Alligator mississippiensis: one gene and its partner. The protein of the gene in region 2 purifies or fractionates together with the protein of the main gene of each other region. This does not show direct contact. Links are inferred from orthologs where the notes say so. Each region holds a gene or a part of one and is shown on either strand. Other genes may lie near its edges.

Region 1 (7,772 bases), on a different chromosome or scaffold from region 2:
AACCAAACCCAAACAGGTTTCACAAACTTAGCATTTCTACACTGAGTATTGCCTCATGAGGTAATAACTCCTGTTTTACAGTACAGACTTCATCAAGTGGCACATCTGGTTTAAAGAGCTAAGCACAGACAGTCAAAAAGCCTGAGGCTGAATCAAGTCAATCTTCACAGGTTAGTATAAACTGCATAGATTGAACCAATAAGCAAGCAAACAGCCATTCACTTTTGATTCTGGAAAGGCAGCCACATGCCTGAATGGCCCAGGCCAGAAGCTGAGGGAAGGTAAAGCATGCCTCCTTACTTGGCTGGAGTAGAAAGCTTGGGCCAAGGCTAGCATGCCTATCCTGTGAGGGGGGAGTTGTGGGGGAGCTGCAAAGCATCCTGGGATGCTGGGGGACTGTGACTTAACTTGGATCTGGAGAGGATCTTTGAACAGAAGTTCAATAAACTGATTTAACATAAATCAGTTAAATCTAATACTACATCCATCTAGGTTTATCTTAAATCAGTTTTGGCCATTTTGAAAGTGGCTTATGTGCACTGAAATTCTGTTGTGTGACAGATTTGAACTAGTTTCCAATTGCTTATACCAATTTATGTATAATTTCTGTCCCTAGCCAAGGATCATTTCACTCACCTTTTAGTATTATAAATAGTCCAACTCTGATATCCTGCCACTTCCGGCTGAACTTAGTAGGGGGTTGCTGAATGGGAAGCTGTGTGAAAGAGTTCATTTAGTTTGAAATAGTTTGAAAGTGTTAATTAAATGCTATTCTTTATCTCCTCCCCGCTCCCCCTCATAATTTTGAAATGTTGAATAATAGCATAATTTGGAGCCAAATGTAACCTGGGACATTTGGCTGACAGACACAAATAACTATAAGCTTTAAAAGGACATTTTCAATAATATGAATAATGTTAGTAATAACAACCCTTCTTATTTCTTGAGGATTTCATGCTAATTGGGGCCCTGTGAGATACACAGAGGAAGTGGGCTGCTCTGAAGCTCCTTTAATCTTGCAGGTTCCTCTGTGCACCCCCACTGCTGATTGGTGGAGCAGCTCCATTTGCGGCTTGCTCCTGATTATTAGGGAAATGAAAACTGTGGTTTTAAACTTGGCACCATTTTTGTCTCTCTGGCGCTGATAGGCCGAGGGGCCCCAGTAGCTCAGCTGCTTGTTGCTCATCAGTGGGGAGGCAAAAATGGTGCCAAGTTTAAAACCACAGTTTTTGCTTCCCTGTAATCAGGAGTAAGCTGCAAGTGGGGACCTTCCACCAATCAGCAGCAGGAGGCACGTGGGGGAACCTACAAGATTAAAGGAACCACAGGGCAGCCCATGTTCACCATGAATCTGGTAGGGCCCTAATGATAATGGAACCAAACATTGTTTTCTTTCATATGAATAGTGTTGTAAAAATTCTACCTATTATGTTTATTATTATTGCCAAGTTGCTTTTTCTTTCATGGCTTCTGCATGTTTGTGTGTGTGCTCCATTGTAGGATTGAATACATGAAAACTGAGTTTCTGACACTAATTGTGTTTATTTCTGTGAGAAAGTACTTCTAAGTGTTTCTTTTGAGAATTAAATGCATTGAAAATTACACAGGCTTTGCTGACAGATACAGGTGGACTATCAGGTAGGTTAAATATATACTCAAGGATCCTGATGGCATTTCACAGAAGTTATAATACAATGCACAAACATGATAGATTGAAGAACCCTAAAGGAGGCCATGGCTTTCTTTCAGAATAAATCAGAGTGACAATGATTGCACCAATGAAATCATGCAGAGCACTTCAAATGTCCTCTCCCTTCTTGCTAGGTGCAGGGCCTGAAGCATCAACTAAGTATTCACCCTGTCACCTAATAGGAACCCTGAATCCATAATAAACTGAATAATTAAAGGTGTCTTCTATTTACTCCAGCCACTAGGTATACCACAGAGATAGAGGAAAAGAAAAAGAGCTGCAAGACTTGTAAATTATTATTTTTTTAAACTCTCAACCAAGGCCCAGGGTCCCATTATACCCCAAGCCCCACTTCCCTTCCCAGAAACTCTCCCCTGCCAAAGTTACAATTCCAAATAAAAATAAATCAGGTTAAGAAGAAGATCTAGAGACTGTCCTGACGAGCATGAACATGTGGTATGTGCCACTGCAGACCCATCTGTTGTGCCACACACTGCACATGCAGGCATAACCTGTGCTGCTACCTTGCAGTGCAGTGGGGCTTTTTGACCCCAAGAGATCCCAGGGTGGTGCACATGGGGTGGCACATGTGGCGGCACTGTGCACTGCCCCAAACTGGTGCTTGGCCAGCCCGATCCATGCTTTGGATGCTGGCCAGGCTTCCTGACATGGCTGCAGCCCCAGGAGGCCCCCAGAACCCTATGTAAGGCTGCTGGGGCCAGCAACTTCCATGCTCATCTGGATGCATCCAGAGAGTTCTAAAAATACAAGTCTCTTTCTGCCTTGTGTATTGGACTGCATTAATTACTTTAAAAGGTCCAAAACAACAAGAAAATATCAGAGGAAAACAGACAATTGAAAAATCAAGTGTATCAAGCTTTAGTTAGAGGAAGAAGATAGTTGAGGGGTACATAGGTGACCTGCATACTACCTTTTTCAAAAATGGAGGCATCATGGTGTGCTGCAGTGGACAATGAAGCATGAGGCAAAATTTTTGAGTTCCTCACTAAGCTGTGCCGCTAATCTGATGTGTGTCCCTGTACAAGTATTTTTGCCTTAGTTTCCATATATGTACAATGATGTTTCTCTTCCTCTATGAAGGACTTTGTGAGCTGTGGATGACAGGCACTGTTAAGGACTAAGTGAAAGAATAAGCTAACATCTATAACATTCACAGGTCTGAAAGGAACTTGCTAAGGGGAATATTACCCACTTCTTGAGAGAAATCCCTAAATGGCTTGTACTTAAATCTCTTCCTCTATGCACAGGTTCTGAGGTAAGACAGGATGGTGCTAACCACACATGAGTCTACAAATAGCCTTTCCTGAGAACGAGGACCCAAAAGACCTTCATAAAGCCAAGCTGTGGAGCATCAAAGTAGAATGGTCCCGAGGAGCTGTCCAACCACTGGGAGCTGCTGGAGCATCTGCTAAGCTATCCTAAGCAATGTCCAATGCACAGGACAATGGGGCACTGAAAGACAACACATAGAAAACTACAAAAATCAGGTCTTAAATGTGGTGTCCACAATGGTCTAGTCTACCAGGTTGTATTCAGAGTGTCACTTGCAAATCAAGGGAAGAGATTCTTTCGCTCTATTCAACACTGGCAAGGCCTCACTTGGAGTACTGTGTCCAGTCTGGGGTCCCACACTTCAAGAAGGATATGGACAGTTTTGAAAAAGTCCAGTGGAAGGCAACAGAAATAATCAGGGGTCTCAGGGGAGACAAGACTTATGAAGACAGGCTGAAAGAACTAGGGATATTGGACTGAAGAAAAGAAAACTGATGGAGGATTTAATAATGGTCTTCAAATACCTGAAAGATGATTGTAGGGAGGATGGAGATAGGCTTTTCTCTGTGGCTGTAGGGGACAGGGCTAGGAGCAACAGCCTGAAGCTGCAACAGGGAAAATTTAGGTTTGAGATTAGGAGGAACTGTCTGACGATGAGATTGGTCAGATGCTGGAACAGGCTTTTACCTAGAAAAGCTGTGGAACCTCCATCTTTGGAAACTTTCAAAAGCAGGTTAGACACTTGGCTGGAGTGGTGAAGACATGGATAAGCCTGCCTTGATCAGAGAGCTGGACTAGATTACCTTACGAGGTCTCTTTCAGCCTTGCTTTCCTATGACCCTTGTTAGACTTTTTCTCTGGGGAACTTCCATGCTTGGACAGGAAAAAGAAGAAAAATCATCCATGTTTCACCAAGAAAAAATTAGTGAAAGGAAGTTTTATCATGGTTAGATTGGGGCAAAGGCCAAGTTATCTTCTGTGCAGTTACAAGGTCAGATTTTCAAGTATACTGTAATTGAAATACTTCGACTGCTTAGTGCTACTCACTATTTTAGATCAATTGCCCTGCTTTGTCTTATACATTTAACTGAAGTTTCCTGCAAAGAGTTTCCTGAAATGCAGTTTGGCTCTTCTACTTAGATTCTTCCTCCCTCCCCCCCAAAATAATGATGGCTATCTTCTAAGTAAATGCTTGTGCTGAACAAACATCCTGTTACCACACATAAATACACTGTTACCTTCTGGTGTTCACCTTAAGGATACAAAAGGCAGTAAACTAAATAAACAAATTAAAAGCCGAGAGGACTTATTTATTTTGGAAGCCATGGTGTATCCCCTTCTAATGTAGTGAGTCCCATTCAGCATTCAGGGTAACGATGAGAACAAAGTAGTCTGTCCCCAAACTAGATTCTGGCAGATTGGCTGTGCTTATGCACTGGTTTTTCTATTTTCCCTTTCTTTTCTTGATGCCTGCATTCCTAAAGAGCGTCTTTGATTTTATACAATGGGCTAAGCTGCTCAGGTAACCCTGAGTCTCTTTCTGGATAAATTACCACTCAAGTGCCCTTAGTGTATGTTCAGGTTCCGTAAACAATGCCTTTCAATTGTTCATTATAACAGCAACAGTACACTTTGATGTACTCTGTCTCCTTTTTTTCCATACTGTTTTCTTCTGTGATTCCTCCTCCCCCTTTTCTCCTCCTGTTCCACTTAGCTGTCCCTCCTATGCTTGTCCCTCCTTCTCTCCTCCTCCTTTCAGTCAGTGGCTTGAAAACTTGTTAAAAGCTCTCCCAGTGTTCCAAGTTAGAAAAAAACTTTTTTACGAGGTATCAGCACTTTTCTTTCATTAGTGGGGAAGGAAGGATGAAAAATACAAACCAGCAGTAGACTTTTAAAGTTTAAATAGACAAGTCTGAGAGTCTGAACTTCTCTTCCATTTTACGTTTACCCTCCAAAGAGGCACTTGTTCGCCTGCTTCACTGCTGATCAGCAAGGGTAAGTTGGAAAGTTTTTAGGTTTTTTTTTAAAGTATACTTTTTTTCCAGGAACCTTATACTGCTTTTACTTATGTCTGGAGTATTTGCAACACAGTTGGAAAAAACTGTGCTAAGTGTTTCTAAAGTTACTCAGTTAAAAGTTCTGGGTAGTTTTTTGCTTTGTTACATTTACACTACTTTTAAATCATTTTTCTAAATATTTTTAATGATCATTTTTTAACCTAGTTCTATGGCAGGTTAACTGTGGCAATACTTCATCTTCAGAGCTGGATTTTGTGGTTGTTTACTTGATTTAAGCAAAAAAACCCATGCAATTATCTTATTAAAAAAAATAGCTTAAGAAAAAAGTAGAGGTGTGCTTCTGTGTATGGAAATCCTCCTGATCTTCTGAAAAAGCCTTACAAGTTTGTAACAGCAAATCCCTTGCATGAGTGTTTCCCATCTATCCCATACACTTTTTTGCTTTCATATGTAAATTTTGATTGATGTTTAATAGTTTGTGCAAAACATGGTTCTTAATTAGGTGCTTTGTTAAAATACTGCTGCTACTAATCCAGTGACTTTCACGTGGCTGTGCTGATCCCCCCCTCTCCTCCCCCCGCCCCCCCACCTACTTCTTTAAAATAGATGTGATAAAATCCAGACATGTGCTAAGGATTTTTAAGCCAGTTTGTATATAGTTACTCTGTATTAGCAACTCCAGTTAAGGATTGTAGAGGAGCCATGTAGCACATAGGCATATGTCTCACCATGCTGGCATTGCCTGTGAAGTTATTGAGTGGGTGGGTGTTAGCAGATGTTCTCTAGGGAGGACTCTCAGTGAGTAGTTACAGCATATATCACAAGTTAAATTGTCTATACTTTGCCCTGAAACCTATAAGATAGCACTGGAAAGGAATTCCTGAGCAGCATCTTCTAGAGAACTGACTTTTGTCTGAAGACACTGGAGTGATTAATTCCTTATTGGTATTGCTGCCTGGATGCCTGCCAGTAATCAAAGAGAAAAACTTTGAGGATGGAGATGGAGAGGGGAAGAAGTTTCACTTGGAGTGAGAACCACATCACAAGTGTACTTTGTTGGAGTAACACATGTGATGGTAATCTAAAATGTTTTGTGCCCAACTGGCATTTCTCCTTCTGCTGTCCTAATATAACAGTAAAGTCAGAACATTTTCCTAAGAGAATGTTCTTTTAGATTGTTCTAAGTGTGTTTAATTAAAATCAACCAAAACAACAACACAGGTCAACTTGCAGCTTTGATTTTTCTGTGTGTGTATGTGAGTGTGTGTGTGTTGGAAGAGCTGGGGCTTGCCTGGATCTTTCACCCTGCCATCTTAACATCTGGACAGCACACTGCACTACATAATTTACAAAGTCTCCAGACTTTGAAATGTTTACTGAAGTGTTTCCCTCAAAAGCCCTCAAAGCTAAACAGTGGCACTGATCTGTGATATCTAACAGGCATACCAATGGGAGAATGATGAGCAACAGGCTGAGTTCAAAAGGGGAAAGGGAAGGATGCAATGGATTTGATTTGTAGCAAATATGCGCATACACACAAACACATACATATATGCACCTCTGAGTGTAAAGGTCTCCCCAGTCTCAGTTAAAACTAGCCTGAAAGATAAGCTGTGCCTGAAACTGAAATTAAACAAGGGTCAGTTTATGTAAACATACTGTTGTGGATTTAAGGAAGTCTCTGCCCAGCTAGTGTTTCTTGTGAAAGAAGTAATGTTGCTAGCCCCTTTCCCTAGCCTACTCCATAAGTTTAGTGTGGTAACTTAGTGTGGTAGCTTAGCATGGTAGATTCATGTTTCTATTGCTTTTATTTTGTGGGCTTCTATATTTTGAAACATATGAACTTGGAATTCCTCACAAATATAAGTAGGCATCACTTCTATTGATTCATCCACTTAAAACATGGATGATTTGGGCCAGAAGAGTAAAAAGTTTTATCAACTGTCTACCTGACTTGTACAAGTGGAATTTTTAAGCAAACTCTTGTGGTCTTGTATTTAGTTGTCTTGGACAGATTCATAGAGTTAGACGAGGCAGGGGGAGAATGCGTCAGAGGAAGAGGAGGTAGTAAAAAGTTCCATCAGTGGATGATCACCAGTGAGTACCATAAGCCTGTAAAAGAAAACAAAAATAGCAGCTGTGAGGGTTAAATTCTCATCACTATGCAACCATCAGGGGTACCCTCCCTGTCCTCTGGAGGAAATTTACTACCAACTAAATGCATTTGCAGAATTCCAAATGGGCTGTACCTTTCCAGGGGAATGTAAGAATAACATTTCACTGACATTTGTAAGATTTGATATGTTTAACGTTCCTGGTCCACAGCCACTCAAGTCCCATGTCTTAGGCACCTCAGCTGCTTTCCCTGAGACTTTGGCTACGCTTGGGAAATTATTTCTAGGTACATTTTAAGCACAGGCTTTTGTTGGCATTTATGGGAGAACCAAAGCTCTTGGCCCACTTCCTAAGTGCTCTTTCAGCTGCACAGACCCACACACTTACCACACACCAGCCCTGATGCCTCTTCCGATCATTACCATGTGACCTACTGACACTGCAGTCAGACCTGGGCACTTAACCACAGTACTGAGCCTGCACTATATCTCCTGGAAAATCTGAACCATATGACATGATGAATGCCTTCCATAAAAAAACAGTTCTAGAATTTCTAAATTGTGGCTTCTAGATCAAATTTCTTTTATATGTGGTCATCCAAGACTCAGGCAGATGAATGCTGTCATTTTTCCTTCTTCTCTACAGCATATTCTTTC
Region 2 (7,683 bases):
GTGAAAGAGAGCCAAATTAGCAAAGTGCTATTCATACATCTTCTGTCATAGTGGTCATCTTATACAATTTCCTACCCAGATGCCTTTCTAAAATACATGCTGTAGTTCAGATGGCCATTATGAGTGGGAATGCCAAAATTAACATGTATTTCTGTAGCTTGTGTTATGTAAGAGGTCACACTAGCTGATCCTAATTGTTTCTTGTGGCCTTAAAATGTTAATGTTCACTTATAAAGCCTCCAGCTGCATAAAATATAGGCAGTTCATAAACCATTTCTCAAGATGTTTTATTAATGGGCAAAGATTGCTCATCAGCATTCATGACTGTTGATTTTGCCATCTAAAAGATGTATTATGATTCTCCTCCTCAGTTCCCAGGAAGGATTTCAGCATCTCAGCTATGTAAAATGTCATTGCCTCCCAGAAACAGAGTTGGTTCTTGGCTTTGTGAAGTTGTATGCGAAGATAACATCCTTCTCACCTGGAAGCATGTCTCCTAGCATCTCATCTCCACACACCTACAGTATACCCCTCACCCATCTTCTACCACTTTTTAGCTGTTATGGTTACCCCATTTGAGAACGGCCCTGATACCCACTCGCTATCTGGAAGGTTCAGAGATTGAGTCATAATACATCTTTCTAAGCAAAGGAAGACTAAGGCACACAGAATAGTTATTTTGCTGGTGAGAGGGGCTGTACATATATTACTTAGTTTTTTGAATGTTGTAATTGGGGCAGGTTTATGAAAACAGAAATTCTGACACTGATTTGGACTAGGTTCCCATCACCCTTATACTGAGTAGTTCTACTGATGTTAGATGCTTCTTAAGGGACACATGACTCAGTGTGATAAAATGCATGGTAATATTGCGTGGGAAAGAGTAATAAAGTTGCTGAAGAGCAATGATTACAGAATACTTGATCTTAACTATAATGTCATGAGTTAATTAATTAAACTGATTCTCTTTTACTCAAGTTCCTAATTTTGTCATTCATCTGTACTTAAGTATTTATAATAGTGTGTCTGTTGAGATGCTTTGTATTGGAGCAGAGCACGAAGGGGCTCACTTCCATAAAGCTGGTAAAGCTCATCACAAACAGGTAGGCAGGAGTCATGAGGAGTCAATACTTTTAAACGTGGCCTCTTGAATACTATGTAGTTTTAACAATGCTTTTCCTACAACCAGCAGGACCAGTCATACTAAACTACTAGGTGTAGCCTTGGAAAAAATAATGGGCTTCCTTTGTCTTCCTCCAAAATATAAACAAAGCTATCATAAAGTAAATTGAGCCTTGGTCTTTGCATAAACAAAACAATCAAGCTAAAGCTTAGCCATATGTAGTAATACTTGCTCGAAGACCCTTGACTATACTATTAAAGCCATTCCATAAATATGAGAGGTGTCTGAAAGAGGTTGGGGGTTTGGAAGCTAAATTCACGTTTGCATTAAGTCCCCTTTACCCTGTGTGTACATATGAAGTCAGGACAACTGTGCACTATCCACTAATAGCAGTAGAACAACGGGCATTTATTACACTAGCTGTACAACAAAGGAAATCTATTTATTATACAGAGAATTAATCTTGAATGAGAAAAGATACAGAATCAAACCATGATTAGATCTGCCTTCATGTAGTTTGTTGGCATTCTGACTCTGGCCACCTGCAGAGCCTGTAGTCTTTGGATCATCAATCAAGTCTCATGCTTCCCTTCCTGCAGCTTACTTCATAGCACACTGAAAAGATTACCGTGTTACTTGAACCTGAGGCTGCGCTGCCTTAGACTTTGTGTACACCTGAGCTGAGTCAGAAGAGGTAGAAAATGTTGCCAAACCAGAATGGTAGCATGTTTTTCCTACTTTGCACAGGTATAGATGACAGACTCTGCGCTGGGCTAAACACTGAGTAGAGATGAATTACTGGTTGGTGCTGCTAAGGAGGGAGAGACAGCAGGTAGTTCTAAATGACCTTTCAATCTCAGAAATTATTTTTGCTTTCATGCATGGGCGACTGGTGCCTCCTGAGTCAGGGGGGGCACTTGCCCCCCCCCCCCCCGACTGAACAGTCAGTGACTGGGGGGGAGGTGTCTCCCCATGGCCAATCCCACAGGCCAGGATCCTACTGTGGCCAATCCTGCTGACCGGGGGGAGGGTCCCCTCGTGTTGGCTGATCCTGCTGATCCGCAACTAGCAGCGATGCACCACTGGCATTTCTGGGGATGCTGCTGGCACTTCCGGGTCAGTGGGATCAGCCACAGGGGTACCATTTCTCCTGGCACACTTCCTGGCTGGTGCTCTCAGCGGGGGGCACCAGTGCTTTTGCCTGCTCCCCCCACCCAGGAACGCTGGCTGACAAGGGGTCAGCGCTGTCAGGGGGTTCATGTGCACTCCCATGCATCTTTTATGCGTTGCGTAAATTAGACCTGCTTCAGGATTGTTGAAGTTACGCCAGTGGCAGTGATCCCGTTGTGCTAGCAAAGCATTGGACAAAATCATGTGTTCCAGCCTCGCCCAAGCCATGCCTCAGGCTCTCTCTTTCCATCTGAGATACTCTGTGCCAGTTTTCTATCACTCAACGATTCCCTTTTGTTGGATGGAATTTATGGCTGTCCATTCAGGGCTGTTTTGGGCTGCTTTTTGCTGCACAAGTGAAAGAGCTGGACCAAGGACCAAGAATTAAAACCGAAGTGTAAATCATTAAAAAAATCAGGCCTCCCAACTCTTCCTTGAGGGGCTTCCAGACAAACACAAAACAGGCTCGGTATTGCAAGGTACAGCAGATGTGGATGTGTGTGGACTCTCTTGGTTCACTCTTCAGATGCTGATTTTTTAATAGCATTATTTTTTTAATCAAGGAAGGATAGAGAAATGACTTAGGGGGCTAGTAATTTATACTGTACTGTTAAGACTTTGTTCAAGTGGAATGGAGTACAAAAAGGTCAAGTATGAGGAAATATATTACAGGTAACCCTTGTCATTTGCTGGGGATATATTCTCGTATCCCCGTGAATGGCGAAATCTGTGAATAAGGCACCACGTTCATGAACGCTGTGGCCTCGGCAGCTGGGGAGGAGGGCCACGGCTCCGGCGGGAGCGCAGTGCCAGGAGCTTGGCGGCAGCAAGCATGGAGCTCCTGAAAGTGTATTTAAAACGCAGGTTTGGCATTCGTGAATATTTGAAGCGGTGAATGCCGAAGCCGTGAATATTGAGGGTTTCCTGTACTAGCTGACAGCGTTCAAAATTGTGAATAGTTGGTTACAACTACCCTGTTCACGTTCTGTATTCTTCCCTCTCTCAATAATGTCTTCTTTCTGCAGCTGTTCTGGCTGAAAGGCAAGTCAATAAAACCGACTTATCCTAGTCACAAGCTCTTAAAAAAAATACTTCAATTGCTACATTGCCACTTGTCCTGAAAGTGCATTTCAGATCTGTCATGCCGCTCAAGTACAGGATAATTAACCTGAAGCGATCCCATACAAACACCAGACTGGAAACCAGTAGTGTTCAAAAATACCATTAAATGACTCTGCGCTCTTTTAATTTCTGTTGCAAAAGTATTGCGGACGTGGGGCAAGCAGTCCGCGAAACACGAGCGAGGCAGAAGTGTCAGGGCCCAGTTCCTCTCTTTTAGACTAGGGGCAGACGTGACACATAAGTGAACTGAAACCGGTTTAAACCCGCAACAGAACAGACGTGCAGCACGCACAAACTGGTTTGAGATAAACCTGTTTGACCGTAGTATCAGACTTCACTGATTTAGGTCCAACCAGTTATGGGGTTCAGCAACCAATCCCCCATTGATACCGCTGTTCCCTACGGGAAAGTCGGTTCTGAGGTATGATGTTTGGACTTAAAACGCGGTTTCCAGGAACTGATGAGGGCGGCGGGTAAGGCAAGAGCACTCTGCCCAGGGGAAGGCGGTGCAAGCCCGGGGTGCGAGCAGCCCAATGAGGCCCCTGGAAGGAGGGCGCTAGAAACCAGCCCCGCGGCTCCGGGCGCGGCACGAGGACGGCGCAGCGCGAGCAGGGCCAGGAACGCGCGGGAACGGGACACGTGATGGAACGCGGGCGAGGCCGAGGACATCCGGGGGCGGGGCCAGGAAGCCGCCGAGGGCGGGGCTTGGGGCCGGGCCGGGAAGTCGTCGCGGGGCGGGATTTGGGGCGGGGCGGCCCGGCCGGGCGTGATGGAAACAGCATGGCCGCCCGCTTCTCCCTGACGCAGGTACCGGCCCCGCGCCCCTCTTGCCGCAGGCCCGGCCAGGCTCCCGCGCTCCCACAGCCCCGGGAAACACGCCTCGCTCGGGGCAGAGGTGGTCCCGGGCGCCAGCACCCTTCAGCCTCGGCCCCCGGGCTCGGGAAACGCCGCCATTCCCGCCCCCTGCCAAACTGCCGACCCCCAAGGGGCTCCTGCCCGCTCCCCTCATCTCCTTCAGCCCCGCTTCCCTCGCCGCAGGGCGGGTGAAGCCCCGGCCCCTCAGGGGGGCAAGGCTGAGCACCTTTGAAGCCTGGTCTGAAAAAGGATTGGTAAAGTAGATATCGCAGGAGAGAAACGCAAGGGGAGCGTTAGTTGTTGTCGAGAAGGGGGTTGCAAACGACATAAAAAGGGTCGTGACGCCCCGTTTCGAAATCCACGGTGCCTCCCCCCAGCCCCGACGCTCGAGGAGCCCTGGAGAAGGGCGGCGAGGATGCTCAGCAGCCATGGAGGGGCTTCCCTAGGAGGAGAAGCTAAAAAGGTCTGGCTTGTTCCCTTTAGAAAGGAGGCGTGTGGTCAGGGTTTAACGGCGAAAAAAAAGGACGTAGGGATTTTATTATTTGACCCCGTTTCTCTCTGGGTAGGAGAAAGAGGGGTCACAAAACTGAGACGAGTAGGCAGGAAACTTAAAACTAGCAAAAATCAGTTGTCTTTCACGCGGTGGATGGAAGTGTGTCGCTCCTTGGCTCCGGGTGTTGTGGAGGCTGACGGTGAAGCTGGGTCCAGAGAGGGATCCCACGCGTTCTTGGAGAAAAAGGGCATCGGTAGCTGTTGGGCTCGGGAGCGAGGCGCTCGGCCACTAAACTAGAGCGTCCTGGACTTTAAATGCTGGCGGCTGCAAGTGAGAGAGGAGCGGTGGGGGGGGGAAAACCCAGTCAGACCCTGTTCACTCTGCCTTTCAGCATCTGCTGCCTGTCTCTCTGACCCGTGAGACTTGGCAAGACGGACCTATAGGCTGACCAAGTAAAAGACAGCTCTTAAGTTCGAGGAACAAGCCTGTCTAGGTTTTTCTTTGCTCGTACGTGCCGTTGTGGGAGAGCTGCTCAGCTCAGTGCGGTCGCCCAGTGCGTGTCTCTTATAGAACAGCTTGTTTTTCTTTCCTAAAAGCAAAAGATAATGACAGCGGAGTTTGGATACTTGCAATTTATGTCCATTGAGAAGCTAAGAGACAGTGGCTTTAGGCTCTGGAGGTGTGCCGATACCAAGTAGAATTGCTCTCTCTCAATGATATTATAAGTGATAATTTGTGATATTTTTATGAATTCTTAAAATTTTTGTTATGTTTCAGTTGGTACAAATTGAGACAGAAGAGTTGTTGACAAAGTGAATTAAATATCTCAGATGTTAAAGAGGGGCTAATAAAAGAATAACCTGGTTTCTGGCATAGCTGAACTAAAAGGCCTTGTGCCTTCAGAGGAAAAAGGAGGAGAGTGTGTGCGCTGCATTATGAGATGCTGATTTTATACTGAGGAATTATGAGCACCTGTCCCTCAGTGCTGTTTCCCCCTTATGTCCCTCACCATTTTTGAATACTTACAGTCCCACATGTTTTTTTCCCTGCCATCAGCCTGGATGCCAAAGAGGTGATGGAGTGTTTCCTGCTAATTAGGCCTGGAAAGGCTCTCATATTTGCTCTGCCTGACCTGGAACTGGTCTGGCAAGGAGGCAGATGGGTCAGATGAAGGGAATGAATGGTCTTTTCAATAAATGGATAGCAAGTGCAGGCTGATTGGCCATCTGGACATCACTAAATGCTGTTTCTGGGCTTGGGAAACTAGCATGGGCTTCCTATATTGCTGTTCTGGGATGGTCAACAGTGGCAGCTGAACGTGCATATGGAAGCCAGCATTTCTCAAGCCATGTGCTGAGCTTGCTCTTGTCTTCCAGCGCTGACCCAACAGCTCTGCTGGTCCAAAAGTAGGTGGCAGTTGCACTGTGGCAGCTGATGACCCTACATTGTTACTGTTCTATGGGAAATCTGTTTGGCCCAGTCCAGATGTGCAGGCAGGTATGGTTTGTGGTGCTACAAATCTTTTTGCAGCACCACAAACTGCGTACCCAGCCCACTAAAACATGTTCCATGCTGCAAATTGGCACCGTGGGGGCAAAATTTGCTACTGGGAAATCCCAGTATCAAAAAAAAAAAAATTGCAAAAAAAGCAGCACGGTGGCTGCCACCGGAGTGTACTCTGGCAGATATGGAGCCTCGGTCCTCCCGGGAGACGCTCTGGCTGATTGTTAGAGTGTCGTCTCCTCTAGTTCCACCCTGGCTCCTCCAGGACACGGAGCCGGGAGGAGGCGTTTCCCTGAAGTGGGGCATTTTGCCCCGTACCAACATGAAATGACAAAAAGTAGTGGCACGTATTTGTGCTGCTACTTTTTTTTGCTGCTGCAAGAGCGTACCCCTGCATGTGGGGATGTGCCCCTTGAGGTGGGAGTCCATGGTTAGGGCTGTTATCATCCAAATGTGCAGAAGTATCATATGCATCCTCCTTGATGATGTGGAGGAAAAATACAGATCCTCACTTTGTGAGAGCCCTCTGATTGCAGCAAAGGGATAAGACACAGGACTCATTTGTATACACCCAGCCTCCAGGTAGGACCATAGAAAGTGGTGCTTTTCCATTGTGATGCAAGTCCTGTTAGATTACAGGGAATGGTTAACTGATATTAAAAACTGTGGGTCAGGAATGATGCCTGATGCACTCATTTGAACACATGGGTCTGTCCTAAAAGTTACGTCCAGGACTTTCCCTGACCACCACATCCAGGAAGCTTTGCCTATAGTCATAGGTGGATCTAGGATTTTAGAAAAGAGGGGTGCAGATGGTGTGGTGCATGGTAACATGTAACACAATACACACATTTATTTCTCCAGGTAAAAAGAAATTAGAAGCTTTACTAATATGCTAGGAGTCTAGGGCCATATTTCATAGATTTCATAGTCATTCGGGCTGGAAGGGACTCCAGAGGATCATTGAGTTCATCCCCTTGCCCCATGGGCAGGAAGTCAGCAGGGATCCTATGATCCCAGCAAGATAAGCATCCAAACGTGTCTTGAAGGTGTTCACAGTGGGCGCTCGAACTGCCTCTGGTGGCAGTCTATTCCAAACCTTGGGGGCTTGGACAGTAAAGAAGTTCTTCCTTATGTGTAGCTTGAATCGGTTGTGGCAGAGTTTGTGACCATTTGATCTTGTCATCCCTTGGGGTGCTCTGGTGAAGAGACGTTCCCCCAGATACTGGTGGTCACCCCTGATAAACTTATAGGTGGCCACCAGATCACCCCTGAGCCTGCACTTTTCTAGGTTGAAGAGTCCCATGGCTCTCAGCCTCCCATTGTAAGGTCTGTTTTCCTGACCTCTGATCATGCGCATGGCTCTCCTCTGGACTCCCTCAAGCTTCTCCACATCCTTTTTGAATTGCGGAGCCCA

The links. The genes of interacting proteins can lie anywhere in the genome.
Region 1: the proteins of EPS15 (region 2) and GJA1 purify together in Homo sapiens (affinity purification with western blotting; 3 studies listed by BioGRID). This does not show direct contact. The link is inferred for Alligator mississippiensis from reciprocal best matches to the Homo sapiens genes EPS15 and GJA1.

What each region holds. Positions count from the first base shown.
Region 1 is NC_081824.1:105,797,168-105,804,939, forward strand, and holds the start of GJA1 (gap junction alpha-1 protein), read left to right. Parts: upstream 1-4,738; 5' UTR 4,739-4,978; intron 4,979-7,772. UniProt on the Homo sapiens protein: Gap junction protein that acts as a regulator of bladder capacity. A gap junction consists of a cluster of closely packed pairs of transmembrane channels, the connexons, through which materials of low MW diffuse from one cell to a neighboring cell.
Region 2 is NC_081828.1:8,526,239-8,533,921, reverse strand, and holds the start of EPS15 (epidermal growth factor receptor substrate 15), read left to right. Parts: upstream 1-4,670; 5' UTR 4,671-4,685; coding exon 4,686-4,733; intron 4,734-7,683. UniProt on the Homo sapiens protein: Involved in cell growth regulation. May be involved in the regulation of mitogenic signals and control of cell proliferation. Involved in the internalization of ligand-inducible receptors of the receptor tyrosine kinase (RTK) type, in particular EGFR.